Linked DNA regions of Arabidopsis thaliana. The protein of the gene in region 1 interacts with the protein of each later gene in a biochemical or structural test. Each region holds a gene or a part of one and is shown on either strand. Other genes may lie near its edges.

What was found.
Region 2: the proteins of MYC4 (region 1) and JAZ10 form a complex in vitro, tested with the Arabidopsis thaliana proteins (one study listed by BioGRID).
Region 3: the proteins of MYC4 (region 1) and JAZ6 form a complex in vitro, tested with the Arabidopsis thaliana proteins (one study listed by BioGRID).
Region 4: the proteins of MYC4 (region 1) and JAZ4 form a complex in vitro, tested with the Arabidopsis thaliana proteins (one study listed by BioGRID).

The regions. Positions count from the first base shown.
Region 1 is NC_003075.7:9,930,955-9,938,810, reverse strand, and holds MYC4 (Basic helix-loop-helix (bHLH) DNA-binding family protein), read left to right. Parts: upstream 1-3,125; 5' UTR 3,126-3,339; coding exon 3,340-5,109; 3' UTR 5,110-5,485; downstream 5,486-7,856. Other genes in the region: AGD8 (ARF-GAP domain 8), read right to left, coding at 27-152, 235-510, 601-1,033, 1,357-1,475, 1,613-1,690. UniProt on the Arabidopsis thaliana protein: Transcription factor involved in jasmonic acid (JA) gene regulation. With MYC2 and MYC3, controls additively subsets of JA-dependent responses. Can form complexes with all known glucosinolate-related MYBs to regulate glucosinolate biosynthesis.
Region 2 is NC_003076.8:4,215,441-4,222,660, forward strand, and holds JAZ10 (jasmonate-zim-domain protein 10), read left to right. Parts: upstream 1-3,387; 5' UTR 3,388-3,560; coding exon 3,561-3,672; intron 3,673-3,749; coding exon 3,750-4,244; coding exon of another isoform or gene 4,245-4,249; exon of another isoform or gene 4,250-4,494; coding exon 4,495-4,556; coding exon of another isoform or gene 4,557-4,599; 3' UTR 4,600-5,022; coding exon of another isoform or gene 5,023-5,062; 3' UTR 5,063-5,473; downstream 5,474-7,220. Other genes in the region: AT5G13210 (Uncharacterized conserved protein UCP015417, vWA), read left to right, coding at 1-1,148; AT5G13230 (Tetratricopeptide repeat (TPR)-like superfamily protein), read left to right, coding at 7,074-7,220. UniProt on the Arabidopsis thaliana protein: Repressor of jasmonate (JA) responses. Interacts with and suppresses RHD6 and RSL1 transcription factor activities to negatively regulate jasmonate-stimulated root hair development.
Region 3 is NC_003070.9:27,271,852-27,279,526, reverse strand, and holds JAZ6 (jasmonate-zim-domain protein 6), read left to right. Parts: upstream 1-2,964; 5' UTR 2,965-3,390; coding exon 3,391-3,544; intron 3,545-3,859; coding exon 3,860-3,983; intron 3,984-4,135; coding exon 4,136-4,462; coding exon of another isoform or gene 4,463-4,466; exon of another isoform or gene 4,467-4,986; coding exon 4,987-5,191; 3' UTR 5,192-5,559; downstream 5,560-7,675. Other genes in the region: AT1G72460 (Leucine-rich repeat protein kinase family protein), read right to left, coding at 1-17; EDA25 (CCAAT-binding factor), read left to right, coding at 5,931-6,648, 6,738-6,810, 6,906-7,025, 7,151-7,226, 7,464-7,532, 7,626-7,675. UniProt on the Arabidopsis thaliana protein: Repressor of jasmonate responses.
Region 4 is NC_003070.9:17,928,152-17,936,606, forward strand, and holds JAZ4 (jasmonate-zim-domain protein 4), read left to right. Parts: upstream 1-3,238; 5' UTR 3,239-3,506; coding exon 3,507-3,582; intron 3,583-4,448; exon of another isoform or gene 4,449-4,828; coding exon 4,829-5,001; intron 5,002-5,122; coding exon 5,123-5,286; intron 5,287-5,380; coding exon 5,381-5,465; intron 5,466-5,667; coding exon 5,668-5,935; intron 5,936-6,036; coding exon 6,037-6,097; coding exon of another isoform or gene 6,098-6,104; exon of another isoform or gene 6,105-6,176; coding exon 6,177-6,282; 3' UTR 6,283-6,511; downstream 6,512-8,455. Other genes in the region: AT1G48490 (Protein kinase superfamily protein), read right to left, coding at 1-446; AT1G48510 (Surfeit locus 1 cytochrome c oxidase biogenesis protein), read left to right, coding at 6,738-6,882, 6,968-7,059, 7,146-7,375, 7,618-7,810, 7,901-8,187, 8,284-8,455. UniProt on the Arabidopsis thaliana protein: Repressor of jasmonate responses. Interacts with and suppresses RHD6 and RSL1 transcription factor activities to negatively regulate jasmonate-stimulated root hair development.

The DNA.
Region 1 (7,856 bases):
AGATTGTGGTGAATGTTGTTACTTACTGCAAACTTCTGAAGAGTAGCTTTTGATTCCAGATCAGCGTTTTTGTTCTGATCCCCAAAGTACTGAGCTGAAGATATGGACTTTGCGTTTGTGAACTTCTTTCTTGCTTCATCTGATTCTTCAACCTAGTAAGAGAAAAAGAAATGGTTTAGAAGAGGTTTGGAATTTCGATTTATTAATTTTGTTACTGAGAAATTATGTGTTTACTTGAGATTTTGAAGAGTTGGAGCTTGATTTCTTGGGAAAAGAACTGTCCATTCCAAAATCCGAAAAGAAGCTTGACGACTTTGGTGGAGCAACATGGTTAAGCACTTGTGTACCACCAACGCTTTGTCCTCCAGATTGCAGGTCGTCATTGTACTCAAACCGAGAGGCAAATGATGAACCAGCTGATGATTTGCTTTCCCCGTTATTTGTTGATGATACAGCGGGAATAACCGGTGCAACTTCTTCCGGTTTCTGCTCATAGAGATTGTCTTTTGGCTACATTTCACCAAAAACAAAATCCAATCTTTTAATCTGAACAAGAGAACAAAAACGTAAATGCTCCAAAAAAATACCCCTAAGACTTACCTTAGTAGTAAGCTTCCTTGCACCAAGACCACCAGTTTTTCCTGTCCTTTTAGCACCAATAGGTTTCTTAAACGTACTAGGCACAACTGTATTAGAAGCTTTAGGCGAAGAAGTAGCACTGGTAGCTTCATGTTTCGAAAGAGGTAACTCTTCCTTGACAGAATAAGAAGAAACCCCATTAGATACTTCCGGTAACTGAGAAGTAGCAACGGGAGATGACAGAAGACCAGAATTAGTTTCTTCCGCAATCGCTTTCGCAACTTCTTTAGCAAGAATCTGCCGATACAAATCAGCAGCTCTTGAAGTATACTTAGCTTCAATTTTGCCACCATCAGTCCATCCATGTTGCTTGAAGAAAACCTGAGCACGGTTGTTACCACCAAACATCATTGTCCTGAGCTGCTCCGGGCTCCAAGAGTCTAAATTCGTTGATCTATACAAAAACGGAAAAGGTAGCATCTTGAGAACGTAATGTGGCATTATTCAATATTATCTAGTCAATGAATCGATAATTTGAATGAGTCTAATTTCAAGACACTGGTGAAATTTTGAAGTCAACAATTCTGAAACCTTAAAACATAATCTGATGATTCAACCACACTAAAGTCAACGTAATGCTACACATTAGCCAACAATTCTGAACACCTGAGCACGGTTTAAGCTAATTCCCTTATAAAGGCCTCAAAAGCTTAAACCTTAGCCAAAATCTGAGCTAGAGTAATGCCGAAGAATTGGATCAGATGATGAATTGTTTACCTGACGAAGCTGATATGAACACCAAGATTCCGGTGAGTAGCTGAACAATCGATGCAGAGGAAAATCCCATATGTAACCGATGCCCAAGTTGGATTCTTCGCACTACAATCGAAGCAGACCTAAATTGGCAAATCAAAACCAAAATTAGCATAAATGAATCAAAGATCTAGTCAAACAACTCTCAGATCTAAACATACACAATATCAAATTGACGATACTCAAAGAAAGAGAAGAATTCAGAAAAAAATTTGATTACCTTGTTCTCAGATTTTGATTTGAGTTTTCTGAAAACAATGTTTTTGTCGGTAAGATTGTCAGCAGAAGAAGAAGCCATTGTAGATCAAATTGTTCAATTTGATCACCTCCTTGAAGAAATTTGAAAGATTTTTTAATTTGAAATCTTTCTTCTTCAAAATCTGTAAATCTAAAGGAAACAGTACTAACGTTTGATGGAAACATTTGATCTGACTAGACTGACGAAAACACCCTGAATAAACTCTAGAAATTACGAAAATGGCATTACGTAGAAACGACACGTAGTGTGTAAATTCCGTTTCTGAAGCAACATGGATGATATAAAACGGACGAAAGCTTATCATTTTCACCTTTTCTTAAACCTCAATTCAAAGATTACTTCCTAATTTGTCTAATCGTGTGTTATACATTTTTCGTATTAATATTATGTTTATCATATGGTTTAATACGTACAGGATTTGTTTTTAATATCTGAAGTTAACATGTATTAGTAAATTAAAATACGACTTTTTATAACTCCAGGTTTTCAAACTAACTAACGGTTTTCATTTTTGCCTTCTTTCCATAATATGTCTCACACATATTATATGCTAAAAGTTTCGCTATACTTGTTGTTGACCATACACTAAAAAATGTCAAATGTGAAATATTTGCGGGCTAGTTTTATTAACTACCCAAAATGTGTGAGGCCCAATATAAAGTAAAGCCCAGCTTAATTTGTTTTGTTTGCTTTTATGCGATTCCGAAATGTCACTGTACAGTAGACACTATAGTTTCGTCGGATATGAACATAGAGAGACCAACATTTTTGGGCATTTGCTCTCACTGAAAAAGAAAGCATATTATGAAATCTGGCCACTAAAAACACGAGACCCACACGACATAATGTGATTATTTTTGTGTGGTCGTATAATTTTCGTAATTAAATCTAATTCTGTTTTAATACTATACCTTTTATTTTCCTTTATGCTCTTGCGTCTCTTTCACCTTTGATATCAAAATCACCCATGTCTTTTTTTTGTTCTTTATCATTGCAAAAAGTTGTGTCCAATAACGAAGCCAACAAAAATATGTTTATAAGAAAATGTTAAACTACAAGTCTACAATATTTGCTTTATAGGTTTTGTATATAAATGTTGTATCCAAATCTTTGGTGTTAACACTCCCTTAATCCCTTTAAATCATATTTTCCTGCCTCAAAGAACAACTGCAATTCTACAAACTCATTGTTTAAATTAATTGATGCTACTTGCTTACAAGAATTAAATGATGGGATTAATCACAAGAAAAGCAGATATTGACACCAATACCAAAAGTGAGGGAGACAAGATCATTATTGTAAGTGAAATATCATTTTCATTCTTTAATTGTTCTTAATTATCAACTTTGATGTAAAAGGCTCCTTGACAAATTTGATCCGATTCTCTTACATAGATTAGTAATTTTCTTGTAAAACAATTACTATTCAGAAAAAAATTGTTTTCAATCAAGTTATGTATATAACCCAACTTCAGAAATAACTCAATCAATAATTCATATTTGGTGAAAATAAAAGTACTATTTCTTTTTCTTTAGAGTTAAAAAAAAAAAATGAATATAAACAGATTCCTTTTCCCGAAACAATCAAACCAAACACAAATATTTTGCTTAAAGAACTTACTTCTCTCCTCTGTCTCTCACCGGAAAAACAAAAAGTCTTCTCTTTTATAACTACGTCAGAGAACTGTTATGTCTCCGACGAATGTTCAAGTAACCGATTACCATCTCAACCAATCAAAAACGGATACAACAAATCTCTGGTCAACCGACGACGATGCATCGGTAATGGAAGCTTTCATCGGCGGCGGCTCCGATCATTCTTCTCTTTTTCCTCCACTTCCTCCTCCTCCTCTTCCTCAAGTCAACGAAGATAATCTCCAGCAACGTCTCCAAGCTTTAATCGAAGGAGCAAACGAGAACTGGACTTACGCCGTGTTCTGGCAATCATCTCACGGTTTCGCCGGAGAAGACAACAACAACAACAACACAGTGTTGTTAGGTTGGGGAGATGGTTATTACAAAGGAGAAGAAGAGAAGTCTAGAAAGAAGAAATCAAATCCAGCTAGTGCAGCTGAACAAGAGCATCGTAAGAGAGTGATTAGAGAGCTCAACTCTTTAATCTCCGGTGGTGTAGGAGGAGGAGATGAAGCTGGAGATGAAGAAGTTACAGATACTGAATGGTTCTTCTTAGTTTCAATGACACAGAGCTTTGTCAAGGGTACTGGTTTACCTGGTCAAGCTTTCTCAAATTCAGACACGATTTGGTTATCTGGTTCTAATGCTTTAGCTGGATCAAGTTGTGAGAGAGCTCGTCAAGGTCAGATTTATGGGTTACAAACAATGGTGTGTGTAGCGACAGAGAATGGTGTCGTTGAGCTTGGTTCGTCGGAGATTATTCATCAAAGTTCAGATCTTGTTGATAAAGTTGACACCTTTTTCAATTTTAACAATGGTGGTGGTGAATTTGGTTCTTGGGCGTTTAATTTGAATCCAGATCAAGGAGAGAATGATCCAGGTTTGTGGATTAGTGAACCTAATGGTGTTGACTCTGGTCTTGTAGCTGCTCCGGTGATGAATAATGGTGGAAATGACTCAACTTCTAATTCTGATTCTCAACCAATTTCTAAGCTTTGTAATGGAAGCTCTGTTGAAAACCCTAACCCTAAAGTTCTGAAATCTTGTGAAATGGTGAATTTCAAGAATGGGATTGAGAATGGTCAAGAAGAAGATAGTAGTAATAAGAAGAGATCACCGGTTTCGAATAATGAAGAAGGGATGCTTTCTTTTACCTCTGTTCTTCCATGTGACTCGAATCACTCTGATCTTGAAGCTTCAGTGGCTAAAGAAGCTGAGAGTAACAGAGTTGTGGTTGAACCGGAGAAGAAACCGAGGAAACGAGGGAGAAAACCGGCGAATGGAAGAGAAGAGCCTTTGAATCATGTAGAGGCAGAGAGACAGAGAAGAGAGAAGTTGAATCAGAGATTCTATTCTTTAAGAGCTGTGGTTCCTAATGTGTCTAAGATGGATAAAGCTTCTCTATTAGGAGATGCTATTTCGTATATCAGTGAGCTTAAGTCTAAGTTGCAAAAGGCTGAATCTGATAAAGAAGAGTTGCAGAAGCAGATTGATGTGATGAATAAAGAAGCGGGAAATGCGAAAAGTTCGGTAAAAGATCGAAAATGTTTGAATCAAGAATCGAGTGTGTTGATAGAGATGGAGGTTGATGTGAAGATTATTGGTTGGGATGCAATGATAAGGATTCAATGTAGTAAGAGGAATCATCCTGGTGCTAAGTTCATGGAAGCACTTAAGGAGTTGGATTTGGAAGTGAATCATGCGAGTTTATCGGTAGTGAATGATCTTATGATCCAACAAGCGACTGTGAAAATGGGGAATCAGTTTTTCACGCAAGATCAACTCAAGGTTGCTCTAACGGAGAAAGTTGGAGAATGTCCATGAATTGAAGTCAGCATCTTTAGGGCTAATACACCGGAGAATACTGCGAAAAGTCGAAAACAACGATCATAGTATAAGCCGCGGTAAAAAGTGTTAAACCTTTCACACAAGTTTCTCTAGTGAATGTAGTTGTAAACTCTATTGTGTAAGGGTAATTTTGTAGTACCCACTTGTTGCTATTGAATGCTTGTTAGAGAGGATTCTTAGTGTAGTATATGATTAGGTTGGGGTTTGTTGTTTCATGAGATAAATAAATGTGTTTGATCAATGGTTAAGTCTTTGGTTTGTTGGTGTATGTATGTAAATAAGGCTTTTGTTAGAAATAAGACAAATGGGACTGAAGTTGGAGTTTTTTGTTGTCTTTTGAGTTAAAGTTTGAGTATTTCACTTTCAAGTGAGTTTTTTGTGTTCATCATTTGGGACTAGTCATTGGGAAGTTGGCATCAAAAGAGGCATCTAATTTGTTAGGAACGAATATACCTACTTTTTTTTGTTTTCAATAGGGATAATTTAAATCAATCACAGCTATTTAGAGATTCCAATGTAGGACCTCAAAATTTATGTGGATGTTACATGATCATTATCGTTCTAAATAGTATTTTGAACCATAGATTACTTCAGAGTAATTAAGTTTGTCGCATAAATCATGATGCACAACATGCAAATGCTAAATGGATTTCTTGATATTGACAGAAGAAGTGAAACCACTAGAATAATACCCTTTAAAAAAATAAAAAAAAATCAATATATGTCATAAAGGTCCAAAATGGTGAAATCAAAATGAAACATGGGGATATAAACATAAGATGTCTTAAAAGGGTTGTGGGGGAGGGAAAGCGAGGTTATGAATCTTTGAAGAAAAAGTTAAAATCATACAAAAAAATCGTGGAGACATGTGTGGTCGATTATTAAAGAGATTTTTCTGCAACATATATTATTGTGTTTGTTTCCAAACATTTTAGCAATAATCTCCTCGAAAATGTGAGTGACAGTGCGAAGAGAACGTGTGAGTGATAAGAAGAAAGCATGCGCTTTTAAAATTATAGGGCACATTATCGCCAAATAAAAACAAAGAACGAAAGGAGACATTTATCATCTGTACATGTAATATTAACTATACTTTGTTTGATGATCGTTTTCTCATTCTGGATAACTTTAGATTAATTGTACGTAAAAGATGTACTAAATAGACTAATTCAGATTACAATTAGTTACCAAATGTACATTAAATAATGGCAATTTGATTACAATAGAGATTACAATTGGACTAGATTAAAACACTGTTTAGTGGCAGATTATTGACATAGTTATCATGCCGTAATAGTACGCATACATTCTAATGGAGTATTATAAAGATTTCAAGACGATCGAATATCCACCCCTTTGGTTTGCTAAATTTTCTTACCAATAGTATAATGTTGTTGCATGGTTGTCTGTGTCAAGAGTACTTTATTTGATGCTCCAAAGTGTGTGCGGATTTGGAATTTTTTAAACTGATCCATCACCCTTCATTTTGTATATATATATTTTAAAAGAATATAATATCAACAATTTGTTACAGATTTTACTTTTTAAAGGATAAAATCCATCGTCTCTGTTTGTTTTGAGATTTCTTTATTAAAGAAGTCCGTTTTTTTCTTAAGTTTGTTACGAAAAAGGAAAAATTAAATTTTGGATTTTCTTAAAACCTAAAACCCAAAAAGCCCAACAAAAGCTGGAAGTTTGAAACCATTCGAGCCTAGTAGCTATATGTAATATATTCATGTGTAATGAAGTAGCATGTGTCATGTGACATGGGCTGCCGAAAAGAAATTAGCTTATAACAAGGCTAGTCATTATTTAAAACGATATGATTCATTACATCTATCGTTTAAGAGAAATCAGATATATATATATATATACAAAGGCTTGATTCTTGAATGGACAAATTCAGTTTTAGCACGAGAGTTAGCGGAATAGCGTCAATCAACAAACTTAATGAATAGTTAGCAAATTCACAACAAAACATTTCCTGATGAGAGAGTACAAAATATTTCATTGCACGAACTTATTCTCGCAGATACGTCAATAGGACTGAGATGGAACAGGAGAAGTCTTTTGTTGCTTCTTAGAGGATTGTTGCTCCTTAGAGGATTGTTGCCTTGTCATACATAACATACATACTACGCAGTAGTACTTTATAAAAAAAAAACATACTACGCAGTACGCATTATTCATGCGAATAGCCAACATGTGAATACGCCAAACACCATAAGTTAAATACTCGGTATCTAAACCTTGGTGAGATCTTTCTTATAAATATAAGTCGAGACATCATTTATCAAAATCTACAAAAGGATATCACACAGAAAAAAAAAACACTTTTTAACACAAAACGTAATTAGGACATTACGCAACATCTAACGTGTCCAACCCTAATTGAGCGTCAAAAGGTTTTAGAAATTTCTAAATTATTATAGGCTATAATCTACTCCTTAGCAGTTTCAAATGTATGCACTACATTTCGTAAGGAATCACTGTCCATCTACTAGACTGCTCTCTAATTCTTCTCTTTAGTCATTGCTATCATCGTTTTGCGATGAAGATGACTTTGAAGACTCGAGCGAGGAGTGGTTTGTTGTCTTTGCCAAGAGAGCTGTGACCGCTATTGAGTCTTCCGTACATACAACAACATTTATTGAATCTTTCATTCATAACTAGATGAGTAAAAATACTTAGTTATATAATTGTATCATGCTATTGTTATTTAC
Region 2 (7,220 bases), on another chromosome or scaffold:
TCTCTCTTGCTGCTAAATGGTGTCCATCGCTTGACTCTTCGTTTGACAAAGCAACTCTTCTCTGCGAGAGCATTGCTAGGAAGATCTTTACTCGAGAATCATTCCCTGAATACGAAGGCGTTGTAGAAGCTCACTATGCATACAGAGTTCGTGATCGGCTAAGGAAAGATGTTCTTGTTCCTCTGCGTAAAACTCTGCAACTGCCTGAAGTATATATGGGAGCGAGAAACTGGGATATTCTTCCGTACAACCGTGTAGCATCAGTGGCGATGAAGTCGTACAAGGAGATATTCTTGAAGCACGACGCAGAGAGGTTTCAGCAATATCTTGACGATGCAAAGGCGGGGAAAACCAAGGTAGCTGCTGGTGCTGTGTTGCCTCATGAGATAATCAGAGAGTTAGACGGTGGAGACGGTGGACAAGTAGCAGAGCTGCAATGGAAGAGAACGGTAGATGATATGAAAGAGAAAGGTTCTTTGAGGAATTGTATAGCTGTCTGTGACGTTTCAGGGTCTATGAATGGTGAACCAATGGAGGTTTGTGTGGCTTTGGGTCTGCTAGTCTCTGAGCTATCTGAAGAGCCATGGAAAGGAAAGCTAATAACTTTCAGCCAAAATCCGGAGTTGCATTTGGTGAAAGGAGACGATCTGTACTCAAAAACAGAGTTTGTTAAAAAAATGCAATGGGGTATGAACACTGATTTTCAGAAAGTGTTTGATTTGATTCTTGGAGTGGCCGTACAAGAGAAGCTGAAGCCGGAAGAGATGATCAAGAGGGTGTTTGTGTTCAGTGATATGGAGTTTGATCAAGCGGCGTCGTCGTCACATTATTCAAGACCAGGCTATGCATTTTTAAGGCAGCCTCCAAGTAATCCAAGTAATGGATGGGAAACGGATTATGAAGTGATTGTGAGGAAGTATAAACAGAATGGGTATGGAGACGTTGTGCCGGAGATAGTGTTTTGGAACTTGAGGGATTCGAGAGCAACGCCGGTGCCGGGAAACAAGAAAGGAGTGGCTTTGGTGAGTGGCTTTTCGAAGAATTTGATGAAAATGTTTTTGGAACATGATGGAGAGATTGATCCTGTGATGATGATGGAGACTGCTATTTCTAAAGATGAGTATAAGTCGCTTGTTGTTGTTGATTAAGAAGCTTTACTGTTTTTTTGAGTTTGGTTTTGTATTCCTGTTTCATGGTTGAAGCTTCCATTGCAATTTTATTTTAATAAATTTGGCCCATTGATTTTACTTTTTTTTTCTGAACCAAGTAATCGATACGAGACCACTAACCTGGCTTTTATTCATCAATCGATGCTCTCTCTACACGTAACCTGCTTCAAAACACTCATAGTTCGCCGGAAACAATCACTCGTATCATCGGATCTCGGCGTTTAGAATTCAGAATCCGACGACTTTGGCGAGCAAACCTTACGCAAACTATGGATGGTATTGGAAATGAACGACAACAAGAACAACCGTTTCATTTACAGATTTACTTCTTCAAATGGGCTTTTCTTCTCTAAATGGGTTTACTACCTTAAGGGGCTTTTCAACTATAGGTTCAATTATATTCTTATGTAAGGGTACTAACTAGTGTGGGCTGTAAACGACTTAAAGTTTCGGCCATTTAGTTTTATGCAAGAAAAAAAATATAGATAATACAGTAATGATGAATCCACTATACATGTTAAATCCAATATAATAAATCCACTATACATTAGTGTTCTCATATTTCGTTTCAAGATTCGATTCAAAAAATTTGAAAATGTTAAATATGTGTTTCTGAGATTAAAGGCCAAAAGAAGGGTAAGGTCGTATATGAAAGGTGGACAGAGGGGCAAATTAGTCAGCTTGAAAAATACATCGACATTAAAAATCGGCAGCACTGACAAAACGTGTGATAACACAAATAAAAATAATCGGAAGAAAAAGAATAAATAAGGCGTATTGACTCTGGAACGTGAGAAGATGAAAGAGAGCGACGAAAACCTCTAAAGACTTATCGAGAAGTGCACCTTAGCCTAGTGAATAATGATATGTATTGACATTAACTACTACTACTACAGCTCCCAACACGTGAAAGACATGCATCTAACTCTTTCACTTTCGGTTGCCAAGAAAAAAAAAAAAAAAAAACTTTCACTTTCGGCATCAAATATATACTACTAAAAAAGTTTTTTATACGTAATTCTTTTTTAATATTTGATTAGTTCAGAATATTAATTAAAAAAATTACTTTTCGTAATCACTACATTTTGTAGTTATATGATTTTTAATTTAAAATAGTAAAAAGGAGAAATGTAACTAATTAAGCTAACATGCGCGCGATAGAATAAGGTGAAGTTTAAATTTGAGCACAAGATAGAAAATTGAGGTCAATTTAATTCGGAAGTGGTTCAAGGTATATTTTCACAAGAAAGAAAAACGTGAGTTCATTGAATCCCTCTATAACTTTACTTGAGAACAATGTAATAATATGTAAATCTGTTAGGAAACGAGCAGCCACATATGCTTTAAACAAGAGAACAAGAAAAAGAGCGGCCACATGTGAAAAAAAAACACCAGCCAAAATGTGAAACTAAGAAAAGAAAAGAAAAACCATCGACATCGTCCAAAGGATCGACCCGTCTTTTCTGGTTTGGCAGAAAACAAACTTCCAAGTTCCGACTTGACCTAGTCTTTATGCATCTGCAGTGGTGTTTTCTTTAAATCTTTTTTTGAATGGATTTGAAAATCTTATTTTTTCTTCTTCTTTCAAAACACTAACTGTGAATCACCACCAACATTTTATTGTTCTAAAATCCCTATTTGTATGTTTTATTGGTTACTTTCCCAAATATGATGAAAGTTTATTGGTGTACTTTAGTTTAGAAATGTAAGAAATTTCAGTTGTATTATTAGGTCAACCAAATATTATTCTTGAATAGTAATGTCAAATTTTGTTTATATTGAAAAATCAATAAGACTGATATCTACTAAATGTGATTTGCTATACTAGTAGAGCTAGTAGTAGCAAGATTAAAATTCATATTAAGAAAAAATGGAAAAGAAAAACATGTTTCGAGAAAAATATACAGATCAGAGACTAGAGTAGAAAACAAATATAATGTCAGAAGAACCCAATGTGACGAACAGTAACAGAAACATGTTACCAAATTTTTGAAGATATATTTTTATAAAACATTACAATGTTCATTGGACTTCCGTTATTTCCGGATATAAAATATCTTCTTTCTGCGTAGCAAGCAATTACATTACATTAGGTATATTAAGAATTTAAACATGTGTTTTGAATCATTAAATTAATTAGATAAGTAAGAGAAGAGGTTGGGAGCCTAATAAAAACAAAACAAAAAGGAAAAAGTGGATAGGTTGCCAATTGTGCCGAAAAGAAAGAGAAAGCATGAACCTCGTGCGTTAAATAAGTATCAGAGACATACTACATTTTAAAAACTCTCACATGAGAAATCAGAATCCGTTATTATTCCTCCATTTATTCATCTCAAAACCCATATCTCTCTGTCTTGATCTCTCTCTCACTTTCTAATAAGATCAAAGAAGATGTCGAAAGCTACCATAGAACTCGATTTCCTCGGACTTGAGAAGAAACAAACCAACAACGCTCCTAAGCCTAAGTTCCAGAAATTTCTCGATCGCCGTCGTAGTTTCCGAGGTTCGTTTGGTTTTTAGTCGCTCTCTCTTTTTTTTTTCTTGCGATAAATCGAATTTATTCATATGGAACTCCTGCAGATATTCAAGGTGCGATTTCGAAAATCGATCCGGAGATTATCAAATCGCTGTTAGCTTCCACTGGAAACAATTCCGATTCATCGGCTAAATCTCGTTCGGTTCCGTCTACTCCGAGGGAAGATCAGCCTCAGATCCCGATTTCTCCGGTCCACGCGTCTCTCGCCAGGTATTTTTGTCTTTCCGGTAAAGTTTTTTTTTTCTTTCTAACTTTTTTGGCGCTACCAGAAAAGACGAAAAAATTTGAAATTCAAATTTTCAAAACATTCATTTTCCTCAGGTCTAGTACCGAACTCGTTTCGGGAACTGTTCCTATGACGATTTTCTACAATGGAAGTGTTTCAGTTTTCCAAGTGTCTCGTAACAAAGCTGGTGAAATTATGAAGGTCGCTAATGAAGCAGCATCTAAGAAAGACGAGTCGTCGATGGAGACAGATCTTTCGGTAATTCTTCCGACCACTCTAAGACCAAAGCTCTTTGGCCAGAATCTAGAAGGAGGTTAGTATAATAAAAATAAAAATCACTTAGTGCTGGATTCTTCTAGAATTTTAGTTACATATTATTGCATGTAGAGATCTAAGAAGAGTTTGTTGTTAGAGAGGAATTGGTTGCTAATTAGTTTGGAATTAGATATCAAAGAGTTAAAGACTATAGTTTATGTCTATACGTATTAATATACGTTATTAATAAAAGTATAAACATGTTGTTTAATTTCTGATAAGAAACTGGTTTATGCGTGTGTATGCAGATCTTCCCATCGCAAGGAGAAAGTCACTGCAACGTTTTCTCGAGAAGCGCAAGGAGAGGTAATGATTCTTCAACAATCCAAGGATTTTTACCCCCAAATAATTAAAGAAAGGTTTTTATTTTTCTCTCTCTCGACCTTTTTTTTACTATAAGTTATTTAAGATAGTAATTATGGGTCCTGCCTCTTTTACTCTCACATACAACTTAAGATTCAACTAGTTTTGTTCAACAACGCACATGCTTATACGTAGATAGATAATGGAGATCAGTAGTAATATCGGTATACGTAGGTTACTATTGTAATGGAACTTTTAAAAAGCGCGTTGACTTTGAGTCTTTGACTCTAGTTCTGTTTGCTACACCGACAAGTTATATTTTTCAAAATGATGAGAAAACGAGGAGAAACACCGGAAAAAAATTTGAACTTTTACTTTTATCAGACCATACGGCCAAAGAAAGATCTGTATATTATATAAGTTATCACAAAACGCGGTTTCACATTTTCTTTTTCGTCTTGTTGTGTTTGCAGATTAGTATCAACATCTCCTTACTATCCGACATCGGCCTAAACGATCTCTTTTTAGATTGGGACATGGACCAAATTTGTCTTTTTCAATCGGAAGACATCCATGTTCGTTTTTGGATTTGGCTTATTTCCAATCTTCTTTTGAAGCCTTCTTCGTCGTTGCTAAATCGTATACTATTCACGACAAACGTTTTTAGGAGATTACGTTACCTACTAAGATTATATATATTGGTTTGTTTTTAAAAATGTCTATTATCTTTATTGTCATTGATAGCTTGATTTAAGAAGCTCTCTCTTATCCCGTGACCTTCTACTTTTGTTTTATTTTTTAGTATATGGTAAAGAAAATTATAACACGCCTCTTTTAGCTTCTCATGAAGCTTCCGTATCAGAGTATTATTAAAGGAAATGTGGCCATTCATCTTTGATTATATTGGTTGGTCTCTAGCTTGGGTTGTCCTAATTGTTATAATGGAAAACAGTTTAAGAAACACGTGAGTATTAGTTATATAATACTATCAAGTCTACCCGACTAATTGTGTCTTTATGTCAAAAGTCTTTTAACATGAGTTTGGTGGAATTTGTACATTGGAATGAAGATGAAAAGAAGTGGTAAAGTGAACGTACTTTGTGTGGCTTCTTTTAGACAATTACCCCTTTCATTGAATAGTATCCATCACTAGTACTAACAAAAAAGGGATGGCTGGTCCGGATTTAAGAAACAAAAACCACACAACCATTCACTGCGTCTTCTTTATCATTGAAACCAAGATACTGTAGCTTATTGATATGAAATAAATACCACCATGTGCATACGTGAGAGTTTTTTTATTACATGTAGTTTCTTAAAAATGTTTTCGTGTCTCTTTAAGTTGTGTCAAGTAAATTGCTTCTCATTTAATCTACTGCGATGACATAAACTTAGTTTGCACATTGCAATGGCTAATGAGAGTACTAAACTTACATCATGTTGTTTAAGCTTTGAAGATGGAATACCGTATATCAAGTTTTAATTAGTAGCTCTGATTCAGATGTTTGGTTTAGATTCAGATTCAGATTAGTCAAGTGTTTGGCTTTGGTCAAGTTGACTGCATAAGCCAATCCTAATATCTTTGATTCATCACGAGTAATTCAAATTAATTATTTGATTCGATTTGGTCCAACACCAACAGTTTATCCTGTTCGTCTGGAAAAAATCTAATATATCAACCAGCTATTTACATAGCATTCGGCCAAATCATTCCAATAGAATGAAACATCCTATATCAATCAACAGATCGAGAAAATGAATGTCCAAAAACAAAACCTGTACTAACTGATTCACATCAGTTTGGAAACAAACTTAAGAAACAGGAATACTTAATTTGAGGAAAATCCTTGTAAATTTGATTATAAAAAAAATTACTTGCTAGATGGCAATACAATCTGCGGAACTGAGAGATTTCATAACCCAAAAAAAAAGGAAATTGCATAATTTAAAATTCACCATTATCAGTTTTGAGCAAACAAAACAGAAGTTAGAAAAGAGATTGACGAATCGGGACATCAGTTTTAAAAAGCTCGATTTATATAATCCGCATGAGTTATAGGAAAGCACCGTTGTAGTGCAAAATATTCATCATCTGCTCCGATTCGTTCAATCAATTTTTTCAGTTGAAATTAAGATTCAGAAAAACAAGAGGAAAACTAAACACCAACTTCAAAACAAATTCTAGCAATCCTAGCTTAGAAATTCAGATCTTAAACATGGAATAACAAATAACGAAGAGTATTGAGAAGGAGAGCTAACGAAACGAATCTGAGTCTGTTGGGTCATCACAGCTACAGCCCTCTTTTATAGGGTGAAGCCTTTAGACTCAGAGAAACCCTAGTTTTGAATTTGGTTATCGAATCTGGGCCACATGGGTCACACTATTACACATTATTGGGCCGGCCCATATCTCTTTAAATTTGGTTTATCCAGAATCATTCGATCTCAGTTGGGAAAAACCGGTTTTGAATAAACCGGATTGGACACTACTCCACTACTTGTCTCCACTCTGCTCGTAATCCGCATGATCGTGTTCATGAGAATAATTCATGTTGCGCAGACTCGCAGATTGATGATCCGATGCAATCGCATTCGACAATGTGGGTTTTCTGTGAAAACTGCGGCATTGGATTTAGAATCGTCGGATTCGATAATCCCAGGCTTAGACTCT
Region 3 (7,675 bases), on another chromosome or scaffold:
AGCCAAGCCACGGCCATTTACTTAACCGGAGCTAGGCCGCCGGGAGTTTCAAGCAACTCTTTTTTTTTTTTGATTAATCAAAGTAGTTTTTTTTTTTTTTTTGGTGATTCGATTTACTAATTTTTCTGTATTCCTTGTCTTGTTTCTCGCTTTGTCTCTGTTTTCTCTGTCTTTTGTTTTTCTTTGTCATTTGTGATCCATTGGATGAGAGGAACTTAGGAGCTTATGGCGCGAATGTTCGTTGAAAGAGTCAAGAAGATTGAGAAAAGCAAGAGCGAATAAAAAATAAGCTAAAGATATGCATTTTTGGTTGGCCCATATGAATAATGTTGATTTTAGTTTCCAAGCCCAAACTTGGACAAAGTTGATTATCGTTTCTATAAATAATTTTTAAACCGTAGAAGTGACTTAATTACAAGTATAAGTGTTGTAAGAACAACTATCAAGTAAAAGTGTTGTAAAACCAACTATCAAAACTATATTTTTTACGTGTTACGTGTGAAAACTATTAAGTGATACTCCAAATTTTGCCATACTACAAGATAACGCATGTAAATAAATTTTATGGGAAAAACAAATGGTTTTGGCATTAGGACCAAGAGCATATAATCTTAAAACTCGTACAACATTTGGTTCAGTTCTAGCTAACGTGACCTTTTAAGTGGACCACTTCATCATTTGGATTTTCCTCCTGATGCTTAGTTATGTCGGATTTCTAATTTACTCACTATAGCATGACAAAAAATGTATCCCTATGCCGAAAAAAGAAAGAAATTTGATAAATGTAAAACAAATTGACGCCACCAAATGTAATCATCAATCAGTTTTAGCTTTTACAGTTCCTAACTATTTCCAAATATGAGAATATCGAAAGAATAGTTATAAGTTTCTTATGTATCATGAGTAAAATACTCTAATACTCAATTACTCATGATATTATATGCAACTAAACAAAATATTTGTCTAATCTATTAATTTTCTGTAGACCATGACATGTATTCTAATGATTTGACTTAGTGTCCTTGTTGTATTTCTATCCGGTTTCAATTATGCAATTGTTGAAAAAATGTTATTCCTGTTCCGCATGTAATGGATACTTATTAATATGCGATAATCTTTAGGCACATATGTTATTGTCATAGTACAAGAGGAGCATGTGAAGAAGCTGCAACATTTTGGTGTTCACATCCAAAGTATCTGTCGGTGTCAAAGAACCAATTTGTTTTAGTCATTGTTGTAAAACGGACCTACATTCGTAGTCGTTACCCCTAAATTTTAAACAAATTTTATGTTTAGTATTGTCATACGTCAATGCAAATGAGTTGTATAATCTTTCAATATTGTCTTCTAATTTTATTTTATTTTCTGATAAGTACCATTTTATTTATGAAGATAACGACTGTACAGAGAATTCCCACCACAAGCTCAAGCTGCAAGACCAAACTTACCCGAAGACAACCTGTTACAGAGACACGCTAGCTCGTAACACTAGATAGAAAGGAAATCTTACCCAGCTCAAAGATTAAGTCTGAAGCACACCTAACCCAAAACTGTTGACACCATCTTGATTATGTCCATATATGAACTTAGGTCTCAAAACAACAACTATTTATTTGATAAATGTTGATATACTCTATTGCTTAAAGGAGAGTCCAACTTCGAGTGGTGACCGGAAGGTTTCGCCGTTGCCTTTTCTTTTTTGCCGTTAACGTTGGTTTGGTAGTCTTAGTAGAATCTTCTCACAATCTTGATTTTTGCATATCAAATCTGTTAGAATATGACATTCCCTTATTTTGGACATGATCAAATATGTGATCGAAACCCAACTTGCGCTTCCAACAATGTAGATAATCTTCATGTGAAATAGCGAATATTATTTGGTCTTTTGTATGTATTAGAAAATGACAATGGATCTATATTGTGTAATTAAATACACACATACATGTGTATATATTAGACTCAAGTTGTTGTTCAACTCTTGAAATCATATGATATTGAAGAGTCTTCAAAGTTCAAAGTATTATGTTCTCATTTTGCAAGTTGCGATAAATAATTCAATAAAAATGATTTTTTCCCTTGGCGCGATCGTCTACGACATTTTGTTTTAAATTCTTTTTTGGTACTCTTTGGCATTGCCTCTTATTCAAATAAAATTCAACGCTCGACTTCATTGAACAAAACGATTAAAAGATTTTATTATTATTATTGTTATAGAAATAATATTTAACTGAGCAAGTAACAAAATTCATATTAGGACTAAACAGAAATCGTTAACCTTTTACCAACATACAAAACCACAAATTCTAATATTAATTACACTCAGTTTTTGTAATTAAAAACAGAAAAGAAAATTAGGCCTATGAAGTATGAACGCTATAATATCCTTTAGCAAAGAGGGAAAAAAAACGCAAATCATGCATGAAATAAGGTTGGTACCGCCAAGATTCCGACACGTGTTGACATCCTAAACGCACATAACAATACTTCACGTGTCCTTAAACTTTGTCGGGGATAAGTAATTGACACCATTCATCGATAAATATCCACTCACAAGTCGTACTGTTGCTAATGGATCCCACATATTAAATTCGTATTAGCCATCGCAGCCGACGCGAGACTTAACTCCGTCAGAACTCCGTTAGACTATAGCGTTTGCAAATGCCCTCATTTACGCCCTTTAATAACGAATATCCTAACCACCACTAAACGAATTACCTCAGAAGGGTAAATTAGTATTTAACAGAAACTCTTGGGACCCGAATGAATTAAATGGGTTAACGCCTTTATGTAATGTCGCCGTCAACTTACAACAGTTTCTTCACGGCTTGTGCAATGAAAACGTGCCGGAACTTGTAACGAACATTGTAGTTTGATTTTTGTAATCAACCATAGGAATAAATCATTTTTTCCGCATATAATTTATTTCCCTATTTCTATTCGTGACAAAACATTTGAGGATATAGGAAATTAATAGCCTATAATATGTTTGACCATAAAAAGAATTTCTTCTTCTTGAACCATCATAAGAAAAATGTGTGTTTAGTCTATTGATCAGTTTTGTGTTCAAAAAAAAAAAAAAAATGTCTATCGATCAGTTAGGTGTAAAAAAAAAAGTTACAAAACTCGTGACAAAAACATTCTATATTGGACACACATCACTGTCACTTCAGACTAAATAAAAAAAAAGAACACGTTATTTCGTTTTCTTTATTTATTCGGGAGAGGTTAAAAGCCACAGAAACTTATTGGCTAGAATTGGTTATTTATAACAACAACACATGAGCAAAAAGCTCAAAACATCTACATACTCTTTGGAATCCTCGATTTTTTGTACGTGTAAAGAAGTCACACAAGAAAATCTTGGGTTGTTGTAATCTTCATCACACTAGTATGTCAACGGGACAAGCGCCGGAGAAGTCCAATTTTTCTCAGAGATGTAGTCTGCTCAGCCGGTACTTGAAGGAGAAGGGAAGTTTTGGGAATATTAATATGGGGTTGGCTCGAAAATCCGATCTTGAACTCGCCGGAAAATTCGATCTCAAAGGTATTTATTTATTTTTCCCTATCTATTCCGACGGCCGCCGCCTATAAAGACCAAAGTTTATATCATATACTTTTAGTATCCTGCTTCGTTGATTATTAGCATAAAGTTTAACTATATATTTTTTTTGTTGAAATGCAAAATTTTAAATCATTTTTTTCTTTTCTTTTCTTTAAACTTAAGCATGGTATTATTTTGGACAGCTTAAGTATATTAAAGTTAGAGATTCTGTGAAGTTTTTTAAAAAACGTAATAAACATGTAATTTGATTTTGATAAATTTTAATCGGTTTGCAATTTCTGTTCTAATTTGTTTTAGGACAACAAAATGTGATTAAGAAGGTAGAGACCTCAGAAACTAGACCGTTCAAGTTGATTCAGAAGTTTTCTATTGGTGAGGCCTCTACTTCTACCGAAGACAAAGCCATATATATTGATCTCAGGTACTGTACACACAAACTTCATATGTATTCGAACTCCTAAAGTGTTTGTTTTCACATTTTGTAGCAATTGAATTAGAGAAAGAACTACCGGTTATAGATGTATGGACTATGGAGTTTGACTAATTGTAAAAATGGGTTTGATTTGATTTTAGTGAACCGGCAAAAGTAGCACCGGAGTCTGGAAATTCACAGTTGACCATATTCTTTGGAGGAAAAGTTATGGTTTTCAACGAGTTTCCTGAAGACAAAGCTAAGGAGATAATGGAAGTAGCTAAAGAAGCGAATCATGTTGCTGTTGATTCTAAGAACAGTCAGAGTCACATGAATCTTGACAAAAGCAACGTGGTGATTCCCGATCTTAACGAGCCAACGAGTTCCGGGAACAATGAAGATCAAGAAACTGGGCAGCAACATCAGGTTGTGGAACGCATTGCAAGAAGAGCTTCTCTTCATCGATTCTTTGCTAAACGAAAAGACAGGTAAACTAAACTCCGAAACTGTTTTGTGCTTGGTTATGCTTTTTCTAGGCCGCTCGTCAAAATGTATGCATAGATTAGGATCAAAGTTTCTTAAAAAAGTTATATGTAAAAATAGCTAATAATTACCATATTAAGACTTATTCGAGTTATTCTAGGAATCCCACATCGGATTAGAAGCGTATTACCAATCAAGTTTAAGTTGAACATTCATGAAATTGAACATAGGGTGGTCCTAGTATGTTTATGAATTATGATTCCTAGAGTAAGATTTCGAGATGTGACTCAAGTGTCATCATTTATAAAGAACATGTAAAAAATCTTACAAGTTACAATGAAATTCGAGATGGGACCTAGAGTAGTATATAAGAGATATGAGTCCATCATCTATGTGTCCTTGATCTAGGAAAATTATTAGTAAAATGTCGAGAAATTTCTAGTTAAAAAACACTAACTAAGAGTTCTTTGTAAATCAAAACTTCAATATCTACTTTGTCTTAAATGTTGATTAATTGTTTTGATTTCAGGGCTGTGGCTAGAGCTCCATATCAAGTGAACCAACACGGTAGTCATCTTCCTCCCAAGCCAGAGATGGTTGCTCCATCGATAAAGTCAGGCCAATCGTCGCAACACATTGCAACTCCTCCAAAACCAAAGGCCCATAACCATATGCCGATGGAGGTGGACAAGAAAGAAGGACAATCTTCCAAAAACCTTGAACTCAAGCTTTAGGGCGTATAAAATGCACGATCGAGTTCACGTTTCTAGTTTTCACTTATTTAGGATTTGAACCCAAATACCCTTTTATATTTTCTTCCATTACTTTTGACCAATTTAAGTTATTTATAGTACTGTATTACGTAGCTAGTATTTATATTTCAAAACATACATATTTTGATACTTGTTTTTTAGATTCTTTAATTAAAATTGTCATCTGGATTACCCTTTATCGAAATTTTTTAATCACCTGATATAATCTCACCAGTGATGGATTTGCGTTGTTAGTAATTTTTCTAAGTGGCAAAAGTATATTAACCTATAATAGGTTTCAAAGATATACATATAATGTTTCTATCAAAGATATTAGTATAATATTTTACCACATGATCGAAATCTCACCAGTTATGGATTTGCATTGAATGTTCTAGCGATTGGGCTGGACCGTCTCAGGAACCCAACCTTAATGAAAAAACATCGTCTCATTGATTTTAGGTCGTTAAGTCTGTTTTGCCCTTGTCTTATCCCGTAATTACGAAATTAGCCTTCTACCATTTCCTCTGTCTGCTTCTCTCTTGCCGTTTTCTAAAACCCTAAAAATTTCTGTTGAACCCCAAACATTGAAGTTTATCTTTCTTTTTCATTGTTCGATCTCAAAGCACAGAGATTGCTTAAACCTAACTGTCTCAGTTCTTTTAAAAACAGTCATCTCTCACAAAACTCTCTTAACCCTCTTCATATGCTTTGAGAAAAAATGTCAAAGATAAAGCCTTTGAGTAAATCATCGCAGGACTTGAGTCTTCTCACATCTGATATCGCATCATTCGCTTCTTCTATTGGCTTAGCTTCTGCTCTTCCTTCTTCGGGTTTCAACGACACTGATTTCCGAAAACCAGCTAAATCCAAAACCCAGAAACGGAAAAAGCCTAAGAAGGATCAGCAACACAAGGATGAAGATGAAGAAGGAGAGCCAAAATCGAACATTGGGAATGAAAAGGGAAAAGATTTTGGAGCGAGGAAGCAAAACAAAGATGCACCGGTGAAGCAAACGTTACAACCGAAGCCAAAGCCTGGATTCTTATCGATTGATGATGAGAGTACTGGGTACAAGAAAAAACGTTTCGATGAATTCAAGAGTTTGCCTAAGTTACCATTGGTGAAAGCGAGTTTATTGAGCTCTGAATGGTACAACGATGCAGCTGAGTTTGAGGAGAAGGTGTTTGGTGGCCGGAAAGTGGCGGTGGCGAATAAGGAGGATTTTAAGGGTGTGGTGGAGAAGAAGAGAGAATTAGGAGAGAGATTGATGTGGCAATACGCAGAGGACTTTGCAACTTCGAAAGGAAAAGGTGGAGATATGAAGATGGTGATTTCTGCTCAAAAGTCTGGGACAGTTGCTGATAAAATCACTGCCTTTGAGATTATGGTTGGAGAGAATCCCATTGCAAATATGAGATCTCTTGATGCCTTATTGGGTATGTTTCTGGTTTTGTTTTTCAATGGTGAAATCCTCTGTAGCATTTTGTTGATGTCTTGTTCACATTATCTACTCTGTTCATTGCAGGAATGGTGACCTCAAAGGTTGGAAAAAGATTTGCATTTAAGGGTCTTAAGGCTCTATCAGAAATTTTGATCAGGCACATTTTTCTTACTCACACAATGAGCTATGGATTTATGTGTCAGTCTTGCATCTTTTTCTCATTGACTGAGGTTTTTTAAATTCTTTCTTCAGGTTATTACCTGATCGCAAGCTGAAGTCACTTTTACAGCGACCTTTAAACATCATTCCGGAAAATAAGGATGGTTACTCGCTTTTGCTGTTTTGGTACTGGGAGGATTGCTTGAAACAGAGGTAAAGATCTCAAATCATGCCATGAGGGATGTGTTTAATCACACTATGTCAAAGATCTGTGTCTTCTATCCGTAATTGTTCTGGGTCGATGATTCGTTTAACAGCTTAGCATGCTGACTTTGTAGGTATGAGCGCTTCGTCACAGCCCTTGATGAATCATCTAAAGATATGCTTCCAGAGCTGAAGGACAAGGCTTTAAAGGTATATATCCTATCACCACTCTGCTCGTGCTAGCTTGTTTAGTAGCACTGGTCTCCAGGTTTTGTAAGATTCTTGATGAGCTTTAATATTAGAGATTTGAGTATCATCAATGTAATCCTTCTCTGGATGATGCATAACGGCATGGTCCGTAGTTTTCTTTTAGCTACAGTGAGTTTTTTTGCTTGGTAACGTGATTCGGATCTTTCCTTCAGTAAATTTTTTCTTGTTTGGTTTCAGACAATATATTTCATGTTGACAAGCAAATCAGAACAAGAGCGGAAATTGCTAGTGTCATTGGTGAACAAGGTATTGTTTGTTGTTCATTCAAATATTTGTATCTAATTTAAATTTCTCAGTTGTGATCCCTTTAATTGTTCCATGGATTACTTTATATTATAGTTGGGGGATCCTCAAAACAAGAGTGCATCTAATGCTGATTATCATCTGAC
Region 4 (8,455 bases), on another chromosome or scaffold:
AACTTGTAACACGGTAAGACCGGAATTGCATAATCATTCTCAAAACTGAAAAAACTTTCCTGCGGCAACGGGCCAGACCTCGTCTTGATTCTATTCAAACCCAAAGATGAAGCCATGATAGGCGAAACCGACGCCGGCGATTCCTCCTTCACGTCAGAAGTCGCCGGCGTTTCAGTAATTGGTTTCTTCGCCTCGGAACCAGAAGATGACGAGTTTGATTTGCCTGGACTAGAAGAGTGAACTTCTAACGAAGCTTCTTTACCCTTCGCTGAGACATGCTTCTTCGTATTAGGGCTCCGAGTTTCCTCTTTAGAATTTGATTTCGGTTTCTTCTTATCGGATCGAATCGGAGAATCGGAGCCAACAGATCGTGGACTGTTGCTGCTACTGGGACTAGAAGATCTCGATTTCTTCGAGGAGAAGAAGAGTTTGCTCTTGAACACCATATTTGACTTCTCTCGAGAGATTTCCAAACCTCAAACCTTACCACAACAAACACGTTACGGCAAAATTCCAAAACGCCATATCCAATTCAAAAGCAAAATCTCTTCTCGCTATGTCTCTTACCTTCAATCTCCGTTACGATTTCAAAAACTTAAGAAAATTCAAAACCAAGCTTTCGATGAATGGACGAAGAAGACGACGGACGTAACTGTTAAGTGGGACACTAATCTTTTATTAAAGCCTAAAACGAAGAAGATTAGGGAAACAAATAGTCAAACCTGTTAAAGACGAAACTTGACTATGATTAAACGTTAATGACTTTCAAACTGAAGATTAAGTACTAAGGACTGCATTTTCTTATTTTATATGCATAAATGAGTAAAGTAGATAAGACTATGAATGAAGAAAACAAAAAAGATAAGACTATGAATATAATTTCTTGAAGATTTTATCATAAATGAATTTATTGTGACTTGAAGAGTTTTAAATTTTTGGAGAAAAATAGAAAGAAATTACATAGTTTTGAATTTTTTGATATTATATAGAAGCTTTCGCCTTTCGCGCGTAATTTTAAATATTTAAATTAATAAATCTAACTAATTTTAATTATCGTTGTGATTTTATATGTTCATACTAAATCGTGTAATAATTTATTATGTATGTACAAAAGTTATAGTTTTGAATTTTTGATTAATAAAAGATATTTCGGTCGTATTTTTGTTTATAATTGAGTTAATCAATCCAACTAATTTTTAATTTTTCATTATCGTTGCAGTCAAATAACATTTTTTTTTCTTTCGAAAATTTAGCTTTAATTAATATTAGAAACTTTTGGGCATATTATTATTTATATATGAATAAAGAAATCTAACAAATTTTCAACACTGCTGGAATTTGATATATTTGCACCCACTAAAGTAATAATTGTTAGATACAAATTTGAATAGTTATAGTTATATTTAATGTTAGAAGATAATATCTATATAAATTATTTGATATGGACCTAATAGATAATTTTTGTAATTATTTACTTCTAATTAAACTAATTCAGATTTTTCGAATAACAAGTATTTTTATTTATTTCTTACTAAATTAATTCAGATTTTTATAATAAAAATATGTTAAAACTTTTTCTTTTTGAATTTAATGTTAAATTATATTAAAAAGAAAAATAAACTTGTTACATATGAAATGCTAATTGTTTTGAGAGTTTTTTTAAAGAAAAGGAACTTCTAATTGTCTATTATCTATTGCCTTGATTCAAAGTTTTAAACCAAACTTGGATGCCATCTTTGAACTTCAATCCTCCACTACCTTGAATTGTGCTCAAACGGTTTCTAAGATTCTTGTCTATAATCTTCACAAGTATTTCCGTCGGTGATGATTGCTCCCCATGCCTGATGCCTCCTCCTATTTTGTTCATTCCAAATTGAGTGTATAGAGTTCTGTCTGTAGTGCATACCTAAGTATGTAGCTCTTCGTTTTGTATAGAAGGTTTTTAGATAAAGTTTTCATAACCTCTGTCCAACTCGCCGAATATCTGTCCGAGAGAATTCCCCTTGTTAAGTCTTCCCATATCTTTTTTGAGTAGGCGCAGTGGAAAAATAAGTGTTCCTTCGTCTCTCTACCTGTTCATTGCAAAAAATGCAACTCGAATCTACATTACATACCACTTTCTCATTGTCTCTCTACTCAAATTCTGTTTTTCACAACCAACCAAGTAAAAAGGGATACTTTGGAGTAACGTATGGGAACCATATCTCATTGTGTCCCTCTATCGACAACTTTGCTAAAACTTGTGTTCAACGTTCTCTTTTTGTTATGTTTTTTCTTTTTAAAATCTGGAACCTATATAAAATCAGCTTATTAGAATATATTTATAAACTTTAATTTTTAATTTTAAAAATATTATATGGTAATGACTTATATAATCTCAAGAAGAATTGTTTTTTCCATAATTCGTATGGAGCCTTATATTTTTTTGGTCTGGCTCTGGTTCTATGTGGCAAGTTTTGCAGCTTGCTCATAAATTCATAATGCCAAGGGTAAGCTCCATACACTCGAACTTGGTATGAACATGGGAGCTCAGCAGTGTACATGTACTTGTAATTTAACCTCATGACTATTAACTCTTACAGTTCCGAAAATAACCTCTTTCTTAGGAACTCTTAGGGTTTATCCAAAAACAAAAATACTTTGATATATTAACAAACGAAATCTAACAACAGTAAAAGAGGAAGTTCTCCGTATGGGAGAACCAATACGAAGCATAAATGCTAGATTTTAACAAATGAAATCTAGCCTTTTTAACAAGGACATGAGCATACCAAAAAAAACTTTAAACGAGAAAAACCATCAATCTCTATAAAAAAGAAGGCCATTCATCCGGGATGGCTACGATCTATAGGTTAATTCTTATCTAAAAAAAACATTAATCAAAGATAAATCAATAATGAGGCACTGCATGACCCAAAGCAAGAATTCAAACTTTGTATGAAGAGGGATCGAGACGACGGTGAAAGCTCTTCTCAACCACATTATTACCATGTTTTGTTGTGTAGAATGAATGAGTCAATGACTCAATGCACTACAAATAATTGCTCTCTTTTAACTTGAGAATAAGGGTTCTTATTATAATGCTTATCAGCTTTAAATATAAAAATAAATAATGTAAAACATTATTTTAAGTTTGATATTAACGACATATTTATATATTTATATATTTATATCCAAGTTGTTCAAAATAAAAATAAATATATATATTTATATCCGATGATTGAATTTCTAATATTGGAAGTTTATTCCGGAACAGGAAAGCAGACGTGGGATATACACATACCGCATCGGATGATTTATATTAAAAAAATATATGTATACATCATTAGAGGAATCATAAATCGGCGGTGTGTGTAACTTCAACTCACGTTTTTCATTTCTCTCCAAAGTCCTTCAATTGTTACTAATTCTCTCTGATCTCTCATTTCTTCTCTTCTCCGGTGACATTTTTTTTCTCCCCCGCGAAAGCTAAACCGTTTTTGTATTCTCAACGATTGATAAGCCTGATGGAGAGAGATTTTCTCGGGCTGGGATCAAAGTTATCTCCGATAACTGTGAAGGAGGAAACTAACGAAGATTCAGGTAATTCATCTTCAACATCTTCCATTATGATCTGATGATTGTGTTTTTCATCTCACTTTTTTTTGTTTCTATTTTTGTAATCTCTTTTTTTGTTTATTGTTCAAGTACATATATATTGTTTTTCTAGCTTGATTGGGAGTCCTACTGTCTGGTTTTTTCTTGAACAAGAAATTTTTTCTTCGTTTTCTCGGGAAGAGAAAAAATAAATTAGGGTTTCTTTTTTCTTGATATATATTTAAGAAATTAGGTTTTAGTACTATAGACAGAAATTTAGCTACTCGAATTTGTTTGACGTAGCCGATGAAAAAACACGTTTTGGGACTCGATAGTTAGAAAATTCATACGTTCACGATCTACTTTTGAAGTTTTTTTCATTAAATATTTTTTGCAAACTACAAATGTACAAGTATACAACTATACAAGCAAACACCAAACTTGTTGACGTTAGTAATTTAACAAGTGTTAGTATTATCTTTGAAAAATAATATTCAGAGAACAAACTTGATTTTCTAGGTGACTAGGTGATGCATGTTTCTAAAGCTGTTGGTAATGTTGAGTGTTTTCAAAATAATTTCGTTTTTTTCTTCAAACAGCCGACACCGACAGAACAAAAATGCTATATTTTTTTTGTTGCTTACAAAATTGATCAATTGGTTTCAATACAATAGTATCTTCTTTAGAAAAGATTGTTTTTTTCAAAGCCGGATTGAATATTGAGAATTAGAACATTGGCTGGTTATTCTTTTTGAAAAGTTTATGCCATTTTTTAAGGTTTATTAAGCAACTTGAATTCTATCAGTATTATTTAAAAACGAAGACGTGAAATGTTGGGAAAAGAATGCGTTATATAGCGACCGGCTGACGATTAGAGATTTAACAACAAATGCAAGTTGAATTATATAAAAGCAAGATTGATTGTGACTTGATTAAGTTTTATTTCTATCCAAGTAGACTCATTGATTAAGTTAGGATCATGTTGGGTATTAAATTTAGATCAAGTTACAATTTGGATGAATAATTTACTTACCCACGAGGAATTTAATAGTTAGTTCTTGTCTTTTTATATTCCGAAACGTGCCATTTCTTGAAAGTATTTGTATGATCACTATTTTCCCCAGTGTGTTTGGCTTTATGCAGATTTGTTCATTGTTGATGAATCTAATGTTAAGAGTCGTCCACTTTAGCATAGCTAGATCTGAGTGTTTCCTAGTTTGATAAAATCTAAAGACATTTGCTCATGTTTCAGCCCCAAGTAGAGGTATGATGGATTGGTCATTCTCAAGCAAAGTCGGTTCTGGTCCTCAGTTTCTTTCTTTTGGGACATCCCAACAAGAAACGCGTGTAAACACAGTCAATGATCATTTGCTTTCTTCTGCTGCAATGGATCAAAACCAGAGAACTTACTTCAGCTCACTACAGGTTAGGCTATTTCTTGAAAAGAAAAAAAGTAGTGATAAAGTGTGATTTAGTGACCTTGTAAGAAAGCTTGGCAATTGGTTTAGTTTCTTCTGGTCTCAAAATTGATACAAAATGATCTCAGGAAGACAGAGTGTTCCCAGGTTCCAGTCAGCAAGACCAAACAACCATCACAGTCTCCATGTCCGAACCAAACTACATCAACAGTTTCATAAACCACCAACATTTAGGAGGATCTCCTATCATGGCACCTCCAGTTTCAGTATTTCCTGCTCCAACCACTATTAGGCATGCACTGCATTCTATCTTCTTCTGTTTAACATCAGATACAGAACCTCTTTACTTCTATAGTTGACTCGAGCTCCTTTATGTTCATCTCCAGATCTTCTTCAAAACCACTTCCCCCTCAGTTGACAATCTTTTATGCCGGTTCAGTATTAGTTTACCAAGACATAGCTCCTGAAAAGGTAACCAAATTTCCTTCAATATGTGTTACATTACAGTCCAAGCTATCCACTGACTAAGTATTCAATCAAAGAAATAAGTTTCACGTATAGACATGCTGAAGTTATAGAAAGTTACTAACCTGGTTTCAACATACAGTATGTTAATGATTCATAGATATGATAAATCTTTGTCCTTACTTCTTCATTTATTTTGTATTCATAGGCCCAAGCTATCATGTTGCTAGCCGGAAATGGACCTCATGCTAAACCGGTTTCACAACCTAAACCTCAAAAACTGGTTCATCACTCTCTTCCAACCACTGATCCTCCAACTATGCCTCCTAGTTTCCTGCCTTCCATCTCTTACATTGTCTCTGAAACCAGAAGTAGTGGATCCAACGGGGTTACTGGACTTGGACCAACAAAAACAAAGGCGAGTTTAGCATCCACGCGCAACAACCAAACTGCTGCCTTCTCTATGGCTCCAACAGGTTATAAATGAAGTCTTAACTCCTATTAATGTTTTGTCATCAAACTTCTATCTTAGGTTTAGTTTGTTATAACCAAAAAATCTTGCTATGATTTAATACAGTGGGTTTACCACAAACACGCAAAGCATCCTTGGCTCGGTTCTTAGAGAAACGCAAAGAAAGGTACTGAGCTACAAGATTATTCACTTATTCACAATATCAAAACACAGGTTTGCTGTATATTGGCTTCGTTTTCTTGCAGGGTCATTAACGTATCACCTTATTACGTAGACAACAAGTCATCAATAGACTGTAGAACACTGATGTCTGAATGTGTAAGCTGTCCTCCAGCTCATCATCTGCACTAAAACCAATTTAGACCCCTCATTGTTCTAAAGGCTTTTTCTTTTTTCTCTGGCTCTGTATCCTATAGACTATAGTATAGTTGTTATAGCTTTTGTTTATTCAGATTTTAGTACACTGGGCTTGTAAAAGCAAGTTATTTATATATATCCTATAAATTTAATTTGGATACTGTATGTTTTGTCTTTACTCTTGCATGTGTATAAAAAACATAAAAGTAAGACTATTCAAGCTCTTCTAGATTTTGTTGAAGTCAACTTTATGTTTATACTTTTTTTTCGATAATTGATATAAAATATTTCCACCAGCAGATGAAAGTCATTTAATTAGTTGGTGCCATGTGCTATATCAGAAAATAAAACATTAGTTTATATACTTAATCAGTCCTCGTCGTCGTCGCCATATATAGTAGATCAAGAATCTTGGATGAGACAAAGAGAAGATCCTGGAGGAGAAAAAGATGACAAAACTCGTTTCCAAGATATTTAAGAGGTTGATTTCTCAAAGTCAGTACATGTCTTCTTCTACTACTAGCAATCTCCCTGCTGCTTCACAAACTTCCAATCTTGAGAGCCAATTGCTTTCTTCAGCTCCACCACCCGCAAGTATCTTGCACATGCTCTCTCTCGTCTAATTTGTGATTAAGTTCTGAATCTTGGTTCTGAATCTTTGTGTAAAAATGTTTTGCAGAGAAGAAAAGAGGGTCAGCGTTGTTATGGTACTTAGTTGGATTCACTACTTATGGTCTCGGTGAGACGTATAAGTTCCTACAAACACAAGTGGTCTGTGATTTTCATTATATACATTTTAATTATACGTGTTGTTCTTTGATCTGCTAAAGAATTTGTTCAAACTCTTTTGTTTCAAGTACAAGGAACATCTTGATTCTAGAAAACAATGCTTGGAAATGAAACCAATGAAGCTGAATACAACGAAAGATTTGGATGGGTTAGGATTTCGACGGGTGGTATGCAAAGGCATTTTCGATGAGCAAAGATCGATCTATGTGGGTCCAAAGCCTAGATCCATGTCTAAAAGTTCTGAAATTGGCTTTTATGTCATTACACCTCTTTTGCCAATCCCTAATGAACCTAATAGGTCAGGGATTTACTCTCTATATGCGCAAACCAAACTAAAGTCTTTTTGATCTCCATATATACCATCTTGATGCAAATATCTTTTTTCTTGTATATTTAAGTGTTTGGATGCAACATCTAGACTAGATGCAAATACTTGCAAATTTTGTGTCTCTTACAAATAAGGTTGCATACAAATGCACCAAAACAAACAAACAAACAAACATGGTCTAACTATCTTTTTCTTCTTCCTTTTGTCACTAGTATGAAGTCCCCTATTCTAGTAAATCGCGGATGGGTTCCTTCGGATTGGAAAGAAAATTCTCTAGAATCTCTAGGTACTGGTGGTCTTGTTGCTGCTGCAAAAGAGTCAAGAAAAGCTAATAAACTTCTCTCCTCTCAACAAAGTCTCTTGTCGAAGTTCTGGTACAAGTTGAACAACCCAATGATTGTTGAGGTTGGTCTTCATTTCATAAACTTAATGAGTACTCAATCATTCATTGCATGATTTGATATCATAGTTAAGTGTTATTGGAATATTTTTTAGCAGGACCAAGTCTCTAGGGCTATGCATGTGGAAGTGGTGGGTGTAGTTAGGAAAAGTGAAACTCCAGGCATATATACTCTAGTAAATTATCCAAGTTCGCTTGCGTGGTTCTACCTTGACGTTCCTAAACTAGCTCTAGCCATGGGGTTTGGTGAGGACACAATGTATATAGAGAGTACGTACACAGATATGGATGAAAGTAGAACTTATCCAGTTCCAAGAGACGTTGAGAACTTGACTCGTAGTAAGGATATACCACTGGACTATCACTTGTACACAGTTTTGTGGTAATTAACAAACATAACATCGAACTTATTGCACTAGTAACTGGTTGTTTTTGTTTGTTTGTTTATGGTAGTGTGCCTGATTGTTTCTATATGCAGGCACTGGAGTTCCCTGACTTGCTTTATTAAGGCGTCTTCGATTTTAATGCGAAGATTAACAAAATCTGATCCTATTGGTGTAGAGCCAATATTGATTCCAATTTCCATTCTCGTTTTTATATGTACCAAGATATACAGTCTTCGTAACTTATTTTGTAAAATAGACACTATT